Caenorhabditis elegans: one gene and its partners. The protein of the gene in region 2 interacts with the protein of the main gene of each other region in a pairwise test. Each region holds a gene or a part of one and is shown on either strand. Other genes may lie near its edges.

Region 1 (7,794 bases), on a different chromosome or scaffold from region 2:
ACTAAACATCCCATGAAAAAACTATATCCCGCAAAAGGAATCGATCTCCTGTTGTCACAGGTTACAGGCAAACGTGTTAGCCACTGCGCCATGAGCGACAAGCGCGCCAGGATAAGAATATTGGCCGCCACTTCTGCATACAGGGAAGATCTACGTTAAATCTGACCCAGACGCTTCCCAAGATTAAAAAAAGAAGTGCGCTTTAATTAAAGGGATGTCTGTCACTTCAACGCATCCTCTCTATCTCTCTGCGTCTCTCTATGCCTATTTTACCCCAAAATCCCCCACCCCCTCTCTTCTCTCATGTTGTCATATTTATGTGTATATATATAGTTGAATATATGTACTACTAGCACATACTTGTCATATTATTCAAAAGAGTGAGAGAGAGCTATCGAGAGTTTCCGAATCTCATATCAGTCTCGTATCAAGTCGTCTCTCGGCGTCTCTATATCTCTGGTTGCCTAGTTACCAAAAACTTTGCTTCCTTCCTTTTTAGTACGTCTTTCACAAATTCAGTGTAGTTTGTAGTGATAAACTAGTAAAACTAGTAAAGCTACAAACTACACTGCTCATCTAAACCTCAGCCGAAGACCTTAAACTTTAAATTTGTTAAGTTTTAGCCAAGATTAATGCTTTTCAACATTGCTTCTATTATATCGGTGAGGCTAGCAGGCTACTCACTACAAAAGTTTCTTAGCTTCAACTAACATTGTAGTTTATAGTCTAGGGCTGAACTATATCTATTTATGAAGTTTTGAACCTAGCTGAGAATATTTTCTCAGACTTCAAGAATCGTTTCAAATAAAGAGACTAAAACTGTGATACCAAATAATAAAAATTATAGTTTGTAGTTTTAGTGAGGCTAGCTTACTACAAACTACACAATTTTTCACCGAATGCACTTTTAGCCGCACCAGGTCGCCTGGAAACCGCCTTAAAAGCCATAAGACAGACGAAAAAAAGTTTTTAGTTTTCTTTATTCCCTGCCGTCCATTTTTTGTCGTCGTCCTTTGTGTTTGTGTTTCTTTTCTGCCCCTTTTCCATTCCAAAACGACCTCCCCCCACTTCCATCCATCTTTCCTCTTTTGGCATTTTTCCAATTTTTTCGGCTGTTAGTTTTTACTGATTTCCTTTTTTTCTTTGTCTGTTTCTTATCAGTTATCGATATTTTGTTATCTTTTTTTTCGAAACTTCCTAACTTTTTATTTATTTAAAAATCAATTATTAGAAATTAACAACTAAATATTGCTAGCATTTTAAACTACCACTCTTCTGAAAAGTCTAGCTTTTGCCTTGCACCCACCGGGGACCTGATTCGACTCCCGGCTAGCGGAAATTGAAAATTATTTTTTTAAAATACCAAGTTTCATAGTTTTATTCAAAATTTATAGACCCTTTAAACCAGTTTCCGATTCCTTTTTATATTTACCCTCAATTTACTCTCGATAACCTTCTCGAATTGTTGACACAATCATGACAGTAATCCGTGACGTGTTAGGTCGCCTCAACCTCCGCCTAACCGTCTAAATCTCTTCACGCGGCGGCGATGTCTCGTCGAAATTCACATTTTCGCGAAAATTTCGGAACAAACATTGACGGGCAGTGGGAGAAGGTGGAGAAAATGCGATCACACAGTTTTCTGGGAAAGTTCGGCGAGTCCCATATCTTTCTGAAAATTCTTTTTTCCTTCTCTGACCAGCTACACCCACAAAATGGCTACCGGGTAAGCCCCACCCATATTAGAGGCGTGTCTGCCCTCACCCATCGCCTAACATTTTAACATTTTTAAAATGTTTTCAAACGTTTTGGCAGGCCACATCTCCGTTCATTTTAAAGATATCAAAACTTTTTAAACTAACGAAATATTTATTGTGTGTTTTTCTATATTTCAATAGTAACAAAGTTTTGATAAACCAAAAAACAATTGAGATATGAGCTCTCATAATCATTACTTACTATAAGTATCTGCCAGACTTTGGCGGCGTATTTCAGGGTGGATATTGCACATATCAAAAAGTCTTTAACTGATAAAATATTCATTATATAATTTACTATAATTTTGTAATTGACACCATTTTTTTATGTACGAATCCCATCGAGATACAAGCTTCCAAAGTTAAGTGGAACATGGTGCATCGTCACCTTTACTTTGGAGGCTCAAATCTTAATTTAGCTTAACGATATACACACATTTTTCATTCTTAACAAATAGAAAATTACTTGACGAATGTTTTGTTAGTTTAAATTTTTTTGATAAACTCATAGACAACCGAGATAAACACCAACAAAGCTGAGAATGACATGGTGCATCGAAGGTTCGAACCCTCAAACTTTGTCAGCGTGTATCTCAGTTCATATTGAAAATATAAACACACTTTTCACAATAAATACATTTAAAATTTTTCCTGTATCTTGGTTCTTATTTAAATTATTGACTTTTTTTAACTGCAAAACTATATAAAAATACATGCAAAACATTGTTAAATACCATACGTTTCCAAATCCAACCCTACCAAACTTCCACTTCAATCACTGATATTCATCAATTGATACCGTTCCAATATCCCTCCCTAATCTAAATCCTAATCTGTCTGCCCCTTCAGTGATGACCCGCCTATCTAATCCGAATGTGTTCTACATCTCATTCCATCTTCTTCTACTTCTTATTTCTTCTTTTCATATATATCTATATATTTGAGAGAGTGTTCCGAAAATCGTAAAATGTGTCGTCTTTTTCTCTCACTCTTCACATTTCTCAACACATTTTCTTTATTTTTTTTTGTCTTGCCACAGCTGTCAAGTTCATGACTCTTTTGATTTTCACCCATTTTTTTTAACGGGTTCATGGGTTTACAGCTGTTTCCTATAGGATGTTTTGGACAAACCGACACATATACAGGCATGAAAGTTATCTTTGTTATCTCCGACACCTATATATTTATTATTGCATATCGCACCTCGTTTAGTATACTTTTATTGCCTTCCTGTTTGATTTTATAATTAAAAATGTGTTTTTGCCAGAACAATCTGATGAAAACCCGAGAAAAATGCCAGAAACCCACGGTTCAAGCTAGCAAAGTTTTGTACTTTTAAACTACAAACTAATTGTGAGAGAGTTAAAAAATGGCTAAGGCTAAGGCTCAGGCCGGGGCTCAGGGTAAGACTCGGGCGTAGGCTTAGGCTCAGGCTTAAGCTTAGGCTTAGTCTCATGCTCATGCTTAGGCTTAGGCCTTGAGCTTAGCTTGGGTCTTGGGCCTAAGTATAGGATAAGGCTCAGGCTTAGGCCTAGGCTGAGTCTGTAATTCCTCAAAATCCCCCATTTTTCCATAACTTTTCGCCCTTCGACCTCAATTTATTTGCTCATTGCTCTCTTTTCCCTCCATGCTGCTAGGAACTCTCTCCAACACATTAATTTAATGCTCATTTTTCCAGAAAACCAAGAGAGAAAAAGAGCCTTCATCAATTGTTGTGCTCAAAAACATCTGGTGGCAGCCATCGTCTTTCTGTCTCGATTGGACAAGGATTCTACTATAACAAAACACAGCAAAAGGCGCGACACGACACCCGATTCTATGGCTTCAGTTGCCATCTCGTCGCCCCCGCTATCGCCACTTGGAAATAATAAGGATAAACGGTAAGGATTTCGTTTTATTTTGAGCAAATTTGATGGAAAATAGAAAAAAATGGGAAAAAACGACCCAAAATCGGGAGAAAAATCAATGAAGGTTTTGGCTTAGACAGGCTCAGGGCTAGGACTGGGCTGAGGCTTAGGCTTATAGTGGGCTTAGGCTTAGGCTTACGATTGGGCCTAGGCTTAAGCTTAGGCTTTGACTTAGGCTTAGGCCTACATCACTGAAGTTTTAGCATTAACATATGTACTTCTATCAAACGTGGCTTTTTAAAAGTGGATTTATACAAAATATTTAAAAGATTTGCATAACCTTCATATCTTTTAGTATAAAACATTCCCAAATGCGGATGAAAACAAAATAACGGAACACCTCTTTCACTCTCTCCAACCAACACATTTTGATGATCAAATCGTAACAAAAAAAAAGTGAACGCGCGTCCATCAATTCAGTCACCTTCTTGTGTTGGCTGTAAAGTCAAATAGTTTTTTCTCTTTTTTGATGTCTTCTTTATACTGTACAGTTGGTTGAGTCTAAGGGAACTTTGTAGTTGATGCCACCAACTTGGTGGTAAGCTTGAGGTCTACCGGAAATTAAATTTTGAATCTAAAATATTGTTTTTCTTATTGTTAAAAAAACACCAGCACTGAAATTTAAACCAAAGCGCAGAACATATACAGGAACTTATGCAGATATATCTTGATAGTTTGTAGTTTGTAGCTGAGTTCTGAATAAAAATTATTTTCTCTGAAACTCATATCTGTTCTGCAAATGTTTCTACCTTTAATCGGACTTTGCTCCCAAAAAACGCCCAGCACCTAGCACGCAGGTGATTTAACACAGAAAATCCAATTAACAATCTCATATTTTCCGGGAATTTTTCGCCGTATCAGATTAGAAGCTTTTGCCTTTTAGAGTTAGCCAGTTGGTTAAGGCTGTAGAAATTTTGGAAGGCTCTGATCTTTAAACCAACTTATGAACCCACCTACTTTCTAGGTAGCCTAGATTTTTTTAAAAAGTTAGGCCACCACAAAACTTTCTTTGGCCTAGCTGATTAAAACTCTGAAACATCCCTAATCCTACAATGCCTACAAAGATTTCCCATGCTTATACAATGAAGCACCCAAAAATTAGTACCGATTTCTCCTTTTACCTGCTGCGTCTATTTGCCCATCTACATCTTAATTTCGCGCACTTGACAAGCCTCAACCAGCCCACCACAGGCAGGCCCTACCTGAATTCAAGGTCAAAATCATCATCATTTCCTTTTTCATTCGGAATCTCTCCCCTCTATAATTGCCATGCATACTTCATTTTTATATTTATATACATATACACAGATTTACCTCATCGGTGTTCCCATTTATAGGTCTAGTGACTACAAACTACAATTGTCGTTAAGCCTCAACCAAGCCTGACCACCAGTTTGTAGTTTGTAGTCTACCTGAGTTTTTAGAGCACCTCTTTAATGTAATTTCTTTAGATTTTTAATTTCTAGTTTGTATATTTGACTTTTTTCTTCATAACACTAATATAATTTCTGGCTCCAAACAGCAAATTTATTATTGTTTAAGCTTCTTACTTTTAGAATATCGAATGAGGAGTATTCTCAAACATTTTGGACTCGGAAAACGCAAGAAAACGTGAGGAATTAAGGTTTATGGGTTACCGGGGAATTCAGATACCTCTTAATGAATATGAAATGTGACAGATTTGGAATTTTTAACATGTCAAGTACAAGTGTATTGTAAAAATACAAATTCGAGATGTTTTACACTAGCAAAGTTTTAGATTTTTAACTAAAATTAATTACGCTACAACAGTTTACCAAAATTAAAATGAATACTATAATTTTTTTAACTTCAATCATATTTTTTGCAGAGTATCATTCGGCGATGATCACACATTTGTATACGAGAAGGAGGACGATGCGACGCCGTTAGTGCCAAGGCAGCCGTTTACCGAGTTAGTTTATTTTAATTTTTTGAAAAAAACTTCAAAAAGAACTGATTTTAATATTTAAAACCCTTTTAACTAGAAACTTTCTGGTTGAAGCTAAGCATGTACCAGTGTTGTCACAGATTTTTTAAAACTTGGAATTGGGCAAACTTTTTTTTCAAATTCAAATATTAATGGATGATATTAAAAATATTAAACGTATGCAACTACACAAACCTACCGTACCACTAATCGTATTTCGGATTTTCGTTTTTGGAGCAAATGGTGGAATTTTTGTCGACATATTCGGCAAATCGGCAAATCGCCGGTTTGCTGATTTGCCGGAAATTTGCCGGTTTGCCGTTTGCCGAACATCAATTTGCCGGAAGTTTTTAGAGGGACTTTGTATAATACGGAAACACCTACAACTGTCCCTTTTTGAATTTTTTTTCCCGTTTTTTCTAGATACTTTCATAGAATCTGCTTACTTTTTGGAATAGATGTAGGAAATTTTGCCAAACCAAATTGAAATTCTGAAATTTCTAAAAAAAGGGCAAAACCACAATTTGTCGAAAATTTTCGGCAATTGCCGTTGTTCCTGCAATGTGCCAATTTGCCAAAAGTTTCAATTCCGACAATTTGCCGATTTGCCAGAAATTCCTATTCCGGCAATTTGCCGATTTGCCGACTTGCCGGAAAAATCGTTTTTCGCCCACCCTTCTACTGTATTTCATTTCTCTAAAAGCTATGGTCATGAAATTGGTTGAGGCTAAGCTAGGATTGCAGTTTTTAGTTAATTAAATACTTATAAATATTTATTGAAAACTTACCGTATTCCTAGTTTAGTATTGCTCCTTTACGATAGTTGTAGTTTGTAGTGACTCTCAGCTGTTGCTCTTTCTTTCCCATTGTTAATTTTTTCTTTTTTGTTGTTACGAATCAGTGTCAGTTTAAGAAGTCTTGTTATCAACCCGTTTTTGCCACACACAACCCACCCAGAGATACCGGGAACAAGAGAGACATAGAGATGAAAAGACGGAAAACCGAGAGCGTGTATTTCTCTGCGTCTCTCTAGGTTTAACGTATCTCTCTGCCAACCGGGCTGTGCTCTTTGAGAGGAGCTTCCCGACAAGTGAGAGAGAGAGTGAAGCTTTGGCTCAGTGAGCTTTGCCCAACACAGATCCGCGCCCGGCGCAGTTTTGAGTTCTCCCCCACCCCCATTCACTTACTCGTTTTGTGCTCTTTTTTGTAGAGCAAACTGTTGTTTCATTTCAATTGCCGATTTCGATGACTAAGTGAGTTTTTCCAGAATTAAAATTTTAGAGGGTTACTGTATTCAAAACAAAAGTTTTCAAAAATCCCAAAAATTTTTTTCTCAAAAACAACAAAATTAATTCAAATTTTTTAAAAATTGATTCTTTTATGCTAATATAGCATTTAATTAGTAAAGTTTTATCTTGTAAATGACTGAAAAAATCAAGATTCCAAAATTCGGAATTTTTCCAACTACTGTAACTTTTCCATTTTCTGGGATTTTTGGCTCATTTTTTTTTAATTGTAAAAAAAAATTCAAAAAAATTTTAAAAATTTGAAAAAAAAAGATTTTGAATTTTCGAAATTATTTTTCAAACTACTGTAACTTTGTCCATTTTTGAGATTTTTGGCTAAATTTTAGTGCAAATTGTACAAAAAAATTTGAGTTTTATATAGTTATTAAAAAACTTATAACGAAACTGAAATTTTGGCGCAATTAAAAATTTTTTTTTTGAAAATTAGTGTTTTTTTCCAAAATTTTTTTAAGCTTCTTGGCTCAATTTTTGTTAAGATGTATATCGAAAATTGGTTAAAAACTGTGTGTAATTATAGAAAATATGACAAATTTCTAAGGATTTTTCAGTGTTTTTAAAAATTGAAAATTTTAAAAATTGTCCCAAAAAAACAGAAACAACTTTCTTTTTTTATTTTCACTTTTTCAAATGATGCCATATTTCCCAAACATGTTATCATACTGAGCTGTTTTTCAAAAACTTTTCAAAAAGTTCCAAAAAACTGCTAAACCAAAGCCCAAACTTGTTTACCCGAACAAAAGAGATCCTTTGCGTGTTTTCCGGGGGTAGATTCTTTCCGTTTTCAATGGTCCCAACTCCCGAAAATTCAAAACAACAAACATACACACACACTGTTAAAAAACAAGTCATATTTGAGCCGCCCATGTTTCATTTTT
Region 2 (6,159 bases):
TGCACTTCTGGCGCGGTTCCTCGCACAACCGTACTGTCCACAAGAGTAGCCGGGTTGACATGACGATGGAGAGCATGAGACTGCCGGCGGAGCAGCACAGTATGATGAGCCACACACTCCGGATGATAAGCACTGAAAAGAGTTTCAGAAATTTTTAACGCAAATGTATAATATTTGCAAAATCTGTTATATTTTCTTTTCTATCCAAAATGAACATTTCTGTACAATTTGGCGCCTGTAGCAGTCACTATGACTGAGATCGTGACGAGACCCAAAATAGCGCGTGCCAGAATTTCGCGAAATTGTGATACCCACCAGAGATTTTTTTTTGTTGAAGAAATCGATTTTTTTTTGATGTGGAAATGTTTCGTGGCACACTCAATCTCGCCAGGAGCATAAGTTTTTCAAAAAATTTGGCGCGAAAAATTGTGTGCGCCTTTAAAAAAACTAGTAACCAATTTCCAAGTTTTCTTCGATTTTCCAAAATTTTCTCTGGATTTTAGGGAATTTTCGTGTATCACGGGAACACGAAATTCAATTTTTGCGTATTGCACAACACATTTGACGCGCAAAATGTCTCGTAGCGAAAACTACAGTAATTTTTTAAATGACTACTGTAGCGCTTGTGTCGATATACAGGCTCGGGTGGATTAAAATATTATTTTTTATCGATAAAATATTAAAATTAAGCTAAAAATGAGAAAATAATGCTGCGATTTCAAATATTAATTAATTTTAAAAAATCGAGCCCGTAAATCGACACAAGCGCTACAGTAGTCATTTAAGAAATTACTGTAGTTTTTGCTACGAAATATTTCGCGCGTCAAATATGTTGTGCAAGAAGAATTTTAAGAATTTTGTGTTCCCGTAATATTTCAGTGTAGTTTTTCAACAGAAAAAGATTTTTTAAGAAAAAAAAAAGAAAATGGGTTACTGTAATTCTTAAAGGCGCACACCTTTCTGTTCAAAAAATAAATTAAATGTCGCTCTGTACGAGACCCGGAATCGTAGTTTTAGTTGAAAAATTGCAATTTCAGCTTTAAAATAAATTTAAAAATATAAAAATAGGCTACTGTAATTCTTAAAAGCGCACACCGTTTTTGTTCAAAAATATATAAATATATATCGTTCTTTGCGAGACCTGGCAAATCGTAATTTTAGTTGAAAAATTGCAATTTCAGCTTCAAAATACCTTTTAAAAATCTAAAAATCATATTTTCGAGACCTATTTTTTTTTAATTTCCAAATACTCACAGCCTCGGTAACCACTGCACCGGCAACTAATACTAGAAAAATTGTAGTAGACTTTGCCATTTTTTTTTTCGGCAGAATTTGGTAAACTACAGTTCATATGCCTCCTCTTTTATACAACAACATCCGGTGAATTGACAGTGGAACCGGATTTCCATATGGAGTATAGGCGAAAGGAAGGTACGATTTCAAGGAAAAGAGTGGAGGGGAAGTACTTGAAGCTTGCATGCCATCCAAGGACGGCATATGGCCTTCATTAATCTCGTCTCGGAAGAGAAAACTTTGAAAAAGCGAGCTGAAGCTGAATTCAGTGGGAAAATTGCTTTGAAACGTCACAAAAAGTCACAAAATTGGGTCACAATGACCGAATATCATGATTAAAAAAAAAATCAAAAAAATGTTCTAGATTTTATATGATTTTTTGAAAATTAGAAAAATCTCAGTTTTCCCCCTAATTCCTATTTGAATTTCCGCCAATTGGATTTGTTCGATGGAGCGCGCTTGCATTATTTTAGTTAATTAATTTTTATTTATTCTCGTTATTTGACTGATTTCCTTCATTATTTGTGTATTTTTATCTAAAAAAAGAGAGAAAAATGCAAATCGTTCATTAAAAAATCACTGAAAATTGGTAAAACTTGTGTGAAAAATGCTAATTTCAGACTTGTTGTCGTCGGAACTCATAATTTTATAGTTTTACGCATTTTCAGTGATGTTTTAATGAACAATTTTCATTTATCTTGCATTTTTCTCTCTTTTTCCAATAAAAATACACAAGTAATAAAGGAAATCAGTCAAATAACGAGAATAAATAAGATTAAATTTTAAAAATAATGCAAGCGCGCCCCGTCGAACAAACTTAATTGGCGGTAATTCAAATAGTGAAAACTGAGATTTTTGGTGGCCCTATAAGAGCTCTTATAAGAGTATTTTAAAGCAATTTCCCCATTGACGATACTCCATCCTTAAACAAAAAAAGAAAGTAAAAGAATAATTATTAGAGAATTTATTGAATTTTACAGAACAAATACAAGTGAAGATTATTAACAATATCGATCAGATTTCATTTTCATCCGTCTGTCCAGCAGCAGCTCGTGTGCACTTCCGTCGGCCTGCGCTTTCTTAACTCCTTTCTTGTCCTTCACGTCAATCGCAATATGTCGGTTCTTGAGATCAACCTTCGAGTGCTGATACATCTTCACGTAGGCCGTCTCACACTCCCGAGCGTTTTTGCGGTCTTCCACAGATCTCCAATCGACTGGGCCTTCTTGTATAGCGTCTGTACGGATCTGGAAATTGAATTTAATCGGATTTTATCTATTTATATCTAAATTAGCACTTACATTAACCATTTCATTCTCCGTAGCGGTTCTACTAGCCACATAAATATGCCCCTCTTTATTTGGAACTGTAGAGAGGAAAAGTGGTGAGGAGACGGCTTGGAACGCGGTTTTTCCCTCCTGGAAAACCAACACGAATTGCTCGCGGGATCCAATAGCTTCAGCCATGGCAACCAATTGATATTCGCTGTCCACTCCAACATATCTTCCGAATCCTGTCTTCAAACTGATTTTACTATCGTCTGGAGTTTTGACGAGCGCGAAAATTTCCTCAGGATTCGGGCCTTCTCCCTCCGGATGTGGAAATCCAATTGTGAATTTTCCGTTGTCCATTGCAGCGACATAAGTTCGCGTTGAGCCGGCTCCACTGGCAACTTCGATGGCGACGTTGGTTCCTCCTTTCATATCGAATTCATCGGCAATTTTGCGCCAACCACCATTTTCGACGGTGTCTGGATCGATTTTCTCCTTGTCGTCTTTGTTCTTCTTCTTTTTCTCCTTTCCCACTTTGAATCTGCAACGAGTGAATTAATGGAGGATTTTATACACTTTAAACTTGAATATGTCACTTACAAATTCTTTTTTCCGGCTTTTAATTTCAATCCACCACCTTTTACAGCACTGTAGTCAGCGCCTGGCATTTTTTGAAGTTTTCTGCAATAAAAAACAAAATTTTCATCAATAAAACTGTAAATTTCATAACAAAACTCGAAGAAATCAATAAAAAAACGTTCGAAAAACGTTTGAAACAAAAAAATAATATTCGAATTCTTCTCCCCCTTCCCGTAAATCCTGCAGCTCTCTACCGTACTTTCGCCGTCTCTCAATTTCGCGGCGAGACCCATCACCACGGCAATCCTCCATTTGTGTCGCTGGGCCTAAATTTTTTCCGTTTTTTTGCTCGATTTTCGCCGTTTCTCTGCGAAATTTTTCCAAATTTCTGTTCAATTTAATCAAAATATTGTTCTGGACGCTTGTTCAGCATAGAAAGTGGAGATTCTGTTGTATTTTAAGCTTGGAAAACGAATTTATTATGAAATTTCATTTTTTTGCTAAATAATTTCTCTATTCTTGAATTTTTACAGCTTTTTAACGCAAAATATTCTTTCCTCTTTGTTCTAAATGGGTAGTTACACACATTATGCGGTCTATAACGTCTTTTGTCACCTTTGAAACTAGTCTCTAAAGAAAAATCAATAATTTTTGCCCCTACGCTCTCCTCCAAATGTTTCGCTCTCGCCGTCATTTTCTGACAATTTTACTCGGTTTCTTTTCAAATTATATAATTTCAGTCATGCAAATCTTCGTCAAGACTCTGACGGGTAAGACTATTACCCTCGAAGTCGAGGCTTCCGATACCATTGAGAATGTCAAGGCCAAGATCCAAGACAAGGAGGGAATCCCACCAGATCAGCAAAGATTGATCTTCGCCGGTACGTTATTATTCAGACCTGATATATTCTTGAATTAATTTCCGGGCAAAACACCCAATATAATTTTCTAATTTCAGGAAAGCAACTCGAGGATGGACGTACTCTCTCCGACTACAACATCCAAAAGGAGTCTACTCTCCACTTGGTGCTCCGTCTTCGTGGAGGTTAGTTTTTTTCTAATGTTCAGGCATTGAGAAATATTTCTAAATTCAGGAATCATCGAGCCATCTCTCCGTCAGCTCGCCCAGAAGTACAACTGCGACAAGCAGATCTGCAGAAAGTGCTATGCTCGTCTCCCACCACGTGCCAGCAACTGCAGAAAGAAGAAGTGCGGACACTCCAGCGAGCTCCGCATCAAGAAGAAGCTGAAGTAATCTTCACTCGTTCCAGTCCATGTGTTGGCAAATAAATCGTTAATTTTAATTGAATGTCGCTATTTGTGCAAAACGTAAATTTCGTAAATATTGGATTTTTGGAATGAGATTTGTACATGGTAACAAAGAATCATTATAAAATACAGATGCTCAAATCAATACTTCGGGGAGCTCTAGTAGCTACAAAGCCGGGTCCAGCCAGGCGCCAGTTCTCATTCACAGCACTTCTGCGGAGCGAGACCCAGCCCAAAGAGATAATTAATCTGGAACGGGTTCAAGTTAGAAAGATGAAGAAGAGACGCCCAGTTGCTTCATCGGTTGTTCCAAAATCCCTACGAGAACCTTCAGTCGTCGCCATGGCACTTTCAGAATCACTGAACCTCAATGAGGTCATCATGGATGCACAGCTCAATGGAATGTATAATATAACTGCAATCGACGAGGACGCGGATGACAGCTTGCACTTTGTCAAAAAACTGGAATATACCATCAATCCAGGCGAACTCAGTGAAATTTTCGTGTTTCGAGATGGAGTTGTCGTTTTTTGGAACGTTGATTCTAGTCAGCGATCGCATATTCTACGGGAGCTCGAACGATACGCAGATGCTCCATATGACTCGATGATTGTGATGGATGAGCAGGATAGAATGTTCTATAAATTTTCAGAGCAGTACGTTTTCTCTTGAAATCGTCAAATTTGCAAAAAAAAAACGGCGCCGCACAGAAATAGAGGCGGGCGTAATTTCGCAACCCTGTGGCACGGTTTTTACTTCTTTTTTTTTAAATTTGAGTTTTAGCCTCACAACCTTATGATAATCAAATTGGATAACATTTCATTCAAAAAAAGAAAGTAAGTAAAAACCGTGCCGCAGGGTTGCAAAATTACGCCCCGCCTCTTTTTCTGTGCGACACTGCTTTTTTGTTGCAAAATTCACTTTTTTTGTTCAAAAAAGAAAATTTAGATAATTTTCTCCAATAGAAGCTTCAAAATTAGGAAAAACTCGACAAAAATTCAAAAATTTACAATTTTTTATTAATATAAGCGAAATTTGCAAAACAAAACGGCGCCGCACAGATATAGAGGCGGGGCGTCATTTTGCAACCCTGCGGCATGGTTTTTCCTCTTTTTTTTTTGCAAAATTTGCAATTTTTAACTCAAAAAAAAAAGAAAAATAAAATGACATTTTCCAGCAGAAACTTTAAAATTAAGAAAAACTCAAAAGTATTAAAAAAGAAAATTATTATTTCCAGGTCTACAGGATCCACCATTCGTCAAGATCGTTTCTACCTCTCGGGAAAACATTTGGACGCCTTCCACGGCTCGAACGAAGCAATTTTAGAGCGATTTGCACTCAGTCAGGGATTCGCTGCTTCCGTGAAAATCGGAGTCTGGGAAAGTCTTCTAAACAATCTTGCGGAGCCACTCTCCAACACTACAAAATCGCTAACTCTGGGAAAGATTCCGTGGAGCCGGAAGCAGGCTCTCATGAGATCCGGAGAATTCGCAGCTCTTCGACACTCGATTAATCTTGATTGTACCCTGTTGAATAAGGATTTCTATTGGGAACGACCTGAATTGGAGAAATATTATACGATGACGGGACGCCATTTCTCACTAGACAGACGGATAGGGTTAGGAATCTGAAAAAATCGCGAAAAAAATTCAAATTAAAAAGAGTGTGCGCCTTTAAAAAATTTTGTTTTTTTTTTAAAATATATTCCAAAAAAGGCGCACACTGAATTCGATAGAAGTTTTTTTGC
Region 3 (6,719 bases), on a different chromosome or scaffold from region 2:
ATTCCAGGAAGATTCGATTCATAAATTTTATATTTTTATTTAATAAAATCAACAAAAACGAAATATAGTTGCTAAGATTTCTAAAAAAAAAAAACAAATTCCAATATTATTCAATTCGTTTCTTTTCTTTATCATTCATTTCTTGTTGCATTCGTTCTTCTCGTTCAGATGGTGACTCAAGTACCTGAAATTAAAATAGATTTATAGATCCATTCAGTTTGATCATACTTTTTGTCTTGCTGATTGCCAACTCTTTTCATCTCCACTCCACAATCGCTTAACCAAATCCTCAGCCCCGTTTATTGTATCAGAAAGACCAGTGAGCAATGGATTTTCTTCAACCTGAAAACACATTTTGAAATAAAAAATATCCGGGCTTTTGAGTAGCCAACCGTGTCCCATCCTTTCAAAAGAGCCAGAGCTCTACCGTATTCCTTATCAGTAACAACCATATCATCTGGAGGATAAAGAGCAGCTCCTACATATCGCCCCTCGGCATTCAGAAAATTGAATGTTGCGATCGCGTCCTCCTGAAAGAGAAATTAATTGTGAAAACGTTAGCAAAATTGTAAAATTACAGTATCCATAATCTCTAATCCAATTTTATGTTCACGAAGGAATGGTGCTACACTGGCTCGAACTCTGAAAAATTGTTTTTTAAATAAAAATATTTTTTCTAGCTCATACTTGTCAATATTCTTTTTATCCCCAACTCCTAACACAAGAATGTCAATTTTTGGTTCAAGAGCAGCAAAAAGAGCAAGTGATCGTGGAGTGATGTCTTCTGGAGTTGGAACACGCCACGAAAGAGCCGTCTTTGGAAACAAGGCGATTGGGCCATATCTGAAAAGTTATTTTTGAAAGCAAAAACTCTCAATTTTGAGAACTCACAAAAATGTTCCATCGAGAAGTCGAAATCCATAGCATGAAAGTCCACGAACTCCAATTTGTTTTGCTTCGAGCATTTCCGTAGATAACATTGAAATTCGACTACGATCTGTCATGTCAGACTCTTCAAGTGGATTTATATGATAACCATCGAGTACACCTGTCAAGTTAAATATATTGTTTTTTAGAACTATTTTTTTCAATTTATAATGAATAATAAAATTGTAGCTAGTGGTATTACCCATACACGAAACTTTGCGATTCTTACCGGTCTCGACACGGCAAATTCTTGTTGAGTGCAAGAGGGTGTGCACCTTTAAAGATTACTGTAGTTTCAAACTTTCGTTGATCATCATGATGTTGAATTTTTATCAATTTTTCATAGTTTTTCTATAAAGATATACACATTAATTTATGAAAAACTTAAATTTTACAATAAAAACACATAAATTTTAACAAATCTTGAGAAAACCTACGAAAAATGGAATAAAATTCTTAGAAATGAGAGTGGGAATTTACAGCACTCATTATTTAAAGGAGTGTACTTTTTTGCATTAAAAAAAGTTTTCGTGTCGAGACCGAGTACCGTATAAATAGCTTCGTGACTGCAGGTTTGATGAATTGGAAAAATATCAGAAATCGAGTGTTTACAAATTTTTGCCGAATCCAAAACGGAATAAACGAAAAGTAACGGATGCTAAATAAATACATTTTTTATTAGTCAAAAAACCTAAAATTACCAGTGTCTGCCCGATTCGCATCTCCTCCTCCTATCGTATTTTTTGATGAACTGCTCAGAAATCGACGAGCTGTCTGTGCTCCGAGAGCAATCAACGATTTGTTCATTATGCCTAAATAACAAATGTTTATTTCATGCAACACATTTTTATTCTGATAATTTATATCTGGTTTCTCAACCATTTTGTGAAATGAAACGTTCAGATGTCGATATGATTTTCTTTCGTAATATCACAGATGAAATTAACAATCTTTGGAATGTGGCACATGAAAAATGAAAAGGCACAGTGAATTGATGAGAAATCACAGAAAAAGGGAATGGCTTTCGAGGAGTGCATTAAAAATGATTAATTTAATTATATATTTACATAGATTTCTGAAATTCTATTCAATATTTTCAATATCTGCCAACTCGTCAGCTAATGACGATTCTTTGAAATTGGCTGGAGGAGTTGCATATCCGGAAGCTGCTTCAGAAGTTGTAGTTGTGGTGATTGATGTTGCAGAAGTTGGAGTTGCACTCTGCTGCCATGATGGAATTGATGAAGTAACACTAGGTGTTACGATTGGAGCAAAATTATGTTGACTGAGAAGTAAACTTTTTATCGTGGAAATTCCGCTCTGAAAATTATTGAAATATTAGCATTACAAAAACCATCTTCTAGAATTCACCTCAACCCGATTCAAATCAGCATCTCTGTTAGCAACTGAGTAGAGGGCTCTTGAAATTTCTGATTGTTGTGTTGCAAGCTGTTGTGTTGTTTGCGAAACAGAATCCATTATGAATTTTATTGAATTCTGAAGATCGTCGACTTGTGATTGCAGTTGACGAATTTCCTCTGTTGCTGGATCAGGAATATCGAAGAATCTGGGCAGAACATATGATCGGACGAATCGATATCCAGCATATGAAATCGATCCAAGTACCACAGCTGATTGTGCAAATGATACTATTCTGAAATTTGCGGTGATATTTTGAAATCAATAATTTCATTTACAAACCCATTCTGTTTTGGAGCAATCATCATTTGCGGATGACCTCCTATTGGAATCATATTCTCTGTTCCAATTTGACTTCTCAACTGCTCCGGCGGAATAGATGCTCGTGCTTCCAAGATTTCAGCCTCACTGACTCCTTTTCCTAATAAAAACTGTCGTTGTTCTTCAAATGGAGTCTCTTTAACTTTTGGAGTTAGCATAAACTTTCTTGCTGCTTCTACCATGTCCGGTCGAATCGGGGAACTAGATGGGTCAGTCATTTTCAACCTGAAGCTTTAAAATAAAAGTATAATACATATGGCAATAAATTGAATAATCTAAAAAATGAGTGAAAATCGATAATAAAAGGTTTGAACCGATAACAAAACCATCAATGAATAATCAAATAATCAAACATTGATTTCCCGATTGATAAAAATTTATCACAAAAATTAACATTTACAATGTGAAAGCAAGAATTTTTTGAAACTGAAAATACTCGTTAGGTTAAAATCTGGCAGAAACCGCGAGGAAAAATTACCCTAAAATACAGAAAAATGAATATAAATAAGTAGTTTACACTATAAATACATAAATGTCATCAAACAATTATTTCGGATCGAGAAGGTGACCACGAAGAATGTCCAAACTCTTGTAAAGAGCATTCGAGAAGGCGGCAGCGTCACGTTTCGACTGAAAATTTTATAAAGATAAGATGTTTTCAAATTCTAAGAGATAAGATAATAACCTGAAATTTTCGAGTTTTTTTTGTCAAAAATACGGTACCTGAACAAGATTTTTCTAATCTCAATTTATTGATGTTTAGTTTTATTTCGATTTTTATATAATATCTGATAATATTTATATTCTTAAAAAAGTTTCTTTTTTTTCCATATACTTTTAAAAAACTTCTAAATATTTCTATTTTTTGACTAATTTTTTTTTCAAAAAAAAATTAGACAATTTTTCGGGTATCAACAAGATAGTTTTTTTTATTAAATGCGAAAAGCTGTGCGCCTTTAAAGCTCTTAGGCTTTGGAATTTTAATTGACTTTTTCTTTGTTTCTTACGATGTGTTCAATGTTGCAACATATTGTTGTTTTTATTGGTTTTTTTTTTCAGTTTTTTTGCTTTATTTTTTTTAAATATACATATATTTCTTATCGAAAAAATGATTAAAAAATTCCGAAGCAACGAAAGTTTGGATTTAGCAACAAAAAAAAGGTCGCGTCGAGACCACTACCGTAATTTTGACGCAAAAAGTATAAAATTTAGCGTCTGGGTAATAGAGAAATCACGAACCTTATTGCTCGAAATAACGGCTCCGAGTTTGTTGGGAACAACGTTGTATCCAATACCGAATCCATCTTGCACAACTGGTCCGAATCCTCCGAAGACAATCGTATCCGTTGACAAAGTGCTCGTTGAAAGTACAAAATGACCCATTCTCGTGTATCCTGGATCTTGGAAGAAATCTGGAGTTGGTTGGCTCAATCGTTGAGCTGTGATTTTGAGGCCGAGCAAATGTCGATCATATCCTTGTCCCATTGATGCTTCTTTTACAAGTTGGAAATGTTGTGTGGAGCAATCAGTCAATAGTTGTCGAACATCTTTACGATTTTCTTCAAGAATAGCCAAGGTGGCGGCACGCGTAGCTGATGTTGCCGATATGAAAATTGAGTTTTGAAACTTGATATTTTAATTCTGAGGAATAAGCTTACCTCATGCATTCAGTTCTTCCCTTCAAGAAAGCAGCAGTGGAACATGACTCATACGTTGGAACAAACTCTTTGTACAAAGAATAGAATGCCATTTGAATAGCAAGCTGCATCACAGAATCCGGTGACAATTTAGTTTTCTTGATCAAATCTCTGTTGAGTCCTTCGAATTCCATTGTCGCAAAATCAAGATCAGAATTTGCAGAGACGTGTTTCTTCTGAGCATCACTGATTTTAGATTTGAGAGAATCCGTGAGCTTGAATTCGAGTGCCTGCACATGTGCTGGATTATGAGATTTTGGAGTGTCGTCTGGAGATACAAAATGATTTTTGTTGGTATCCTTGAATGATTCTTCCATTAAACGAAGCACGGCAACTCCATCTCCCCACGAGTGTTCAAAGTTGATTGTGGCTTGACCGTTGGCTAAAATTGAAAAAATATGATTTTTAATAAAGTTCTGTGAAAATTACCATCGATGATAGTCTGGAAGCACTTGTCAAACCAACGATTACGAGCATCATCTCCGATGAGAAGAGATTGGACGAGTCTGAGAATTCAAAACTTTGGTTTGAAAATTATTTCATTAAAATTACCTTTTATGTTCTTCAGTTTTGAGGTCATCAAGACAAATTGCGAAAAGTCCACCATCAATTTTCTTCAAATATTCTCCATTTCCTGCGTTTTCGAGTTCCACTCGAGCTTCAGCCCACGAGTCACGATCCAACGACGTTAGGGATCCTAGGTTTTTATATTTTAGCACCATTATAAATCTACAAGAACGCTTACCAATACTGCTCTCTGGTGCCGCTTCCTTTCCATTACTCAAAATCCAAGCGAGAGATGCATGAACGTCTTCAGCATCAAGGAGTTTACCATCATCGTCAAAGATACGAACTGCGTATGGATGACCTTTGTAGAACGCAACGAAATGCTTTTGAGAGGCATCCTAGAAATATTCGAGATAGTAGATTTTAATGTTTCAATTATTAAAACTTACCAAATACAGCATATCCTTTTCTTTCTTTGGAATTCGCGATCCGCAGAATAAAGATTTATACTGTGACATGTCAAGTGGGAAAGCTTTGAATGCAACTGCACCGAACCATGAGAGACTTGGTGGAAGAGTTCTGAAAACAAGCGGTGGCTTTCAATTTCAATTAATAATTGAGACTTACTTGCAAACGGTTCTGAATAATTTTGTATCGCTCTTTTTCGGGTTCATATGGAAAACCTCTGGCCCCAAGAGGTTCTCATCGAGGGATCGCTTGATTCTAGCATAGGAAATGGCGAGATTCGTGGCGCGAGTTAGCTGAAATAATAATGGTCTTAAGAACAATCGGTAGAACTTTAAATTTGTTCATTAAGAAAAGAAAGAGGTTTCATCAAAGCTACACTGTACCCTTCCCCTTTTCTCCCTCGTATCTTTCATCTCGTAGTGTACTCGAACAATTTGTGGACTACGGAGAAGAGACTACAGAGAAGGTAAGTCATAAATAGAACGAGTATACAAAGTACAAAAATAAATCAATTCAAATTCAGAAAAAAAACTACTCAAAAACATTATTTCTCTGAAACGTATTTTACCTGATCATTGAATTTCGGATTTGGATCTGGAGCATACATCATAAATGGGTTGTAATTCACAGCAACTGGAACTCTGGCTCTTAGATACATATCAAACCATGGCTCAGAAATGTAACTGGTGTCCCTATGAGCCTTGTCGTATTCTAGAAGCGCTTCTTGAAGTTTTGGACCTTCATTGGCTTCAAAACTGCGAATGGTGGCTTCAGTTTTTGCAAAAACATCCGGAGAGAGCACTGCTTTAGAAGAAGCAAGGTAGCTGTAAAAATATGATGAATAATTATCAATGTTCAGTTTAGTTACAGAATGCTCACCGATTTACCGTATCTGGAAGCTTTGGGATAGGCAGTCTTCTCAGCGACTTCTGGAAGTGATACGATGGAATTTCTGATTTTTCCAGATATTGATAGTCGTCTCCGGTCAAAGCATGCTTTCCACGAGAAGCTGTAATTGATCGACACAAGTTTGAGGAACGAAGCATCTGAAAATTGAGAGAATAAAAATAAAAACATGAATTTAATTTAGAAAACTAGAAGAGTGAATACATTTATTGCTTAAAAATGAGTGTTCTAGATACAAAGTATCGGAAAAACCGCTCGCCATTCGATAGCAAGACACAAATGATGCGAAAAACGAGTGAGATAACGGACAACAACGTGCTGAATAATGGACTTTGAACCTTGCACGAGAGATGCGTCAGCCTCACCAAAAACGCGTCAGCATCCAATCATAGGCGTCATTCGTTCCTTGCAAAAAATTATTTTACATCATTTTTTTGCGTTTTTTCTTTCAATTTACTAGAGGCCCCACGAAAA

The links. Proteins that work in one complex are often made in the same cells at the same time.
Region 1: the proteins of ubq-2 (region 2) and W05B5.1 interact in a two-hybrid assay, tested with the Caenorhabditis elegans proteins (one large-scale study listed by BioGRID).
Region 3: the proteins of ubq-2 (region 2) and prx-14 interact in a two-hybrid assay, tested with the Caenorhabditis elegans proteins (one large-scale study listed by BioGRID).

Annotation. Positions count from the first base shown.
Region 1 is NC_003279.8:13,030,050-13,037,843, forward strand, and holds the start of W05B5.1 (uncharacterized protein), read left to right. Parts: upstream 1-3,575; coding exon 3,576-3,637; intron 3,638-5,222; exon of another isoform or gene 5,223-5,228; coding exon of another isoform or gene 5,229-5,275; intron 5,276-5,513; coding exon 5,514-5,597; intron 5,598-7,794.
Region 2 is NC_003281.10:12,976,248-12,982,406, reverse strand, and holds ubq-2 (Ubiquitin), read left to right. Parts: upstream 1-3,883; 5' UTR 3,884-3,885; coding exon 3,886-4,024; intron 4,025-4,101; coding exon 4,102-4,188; intron 4,189-4,237; coding exon 4,238-4,398; 3' UTR 4,399-4,444; downstream 4,445-6,159. Other genes in the region: dbd-14 (DB domain-containing protein), read right to left, coding at 1-132, 1,255-1,314; frg-1 (Protein FRG1 homolog), read right to left, coding at 2,295-2,540, 2,595-3,105, 3,165-3,232; ZK1010.2 (DUF155 domain-containing protein), read left to right, coding at 4,545-5,068, 5,650-6,030.
Region 3 is NC_003282.8:11,179,311-11,186,029, reverse strand, and holds prx-14 (Peroxisomal membrane protein PEX14), read right to left. Parts: upstream 2,899-6,719; 5' UTR 2,886-2,898; coding exon 2,629-2,885; intron 2,582-2,628; coding exon 2,299-2,581; intron 2,248-2,298; coding exon 2,011-2,247; 3' UTR 1,735-2,010; downstream 1-1,734. Other genes in the region: nuaf-3 (NADH dehydrogenase [ubiquinone] 1 alpha subcomplex assembly factor 3), read right to left, coding at 107-184, 229-342, 393-530, 579-642, 688-843, 892-1,048, 1,629-1,734; cpt-2 (Calponin-homology (CH) domain-containing protein), read right to left, coding at 3,214-3,297, 3,907-4,273, 4,326-4,746, 4,794-4,870, 4,917-5,061, 5,110-5,269, 5,321-5,450, 5,499-5,632 and 2 more.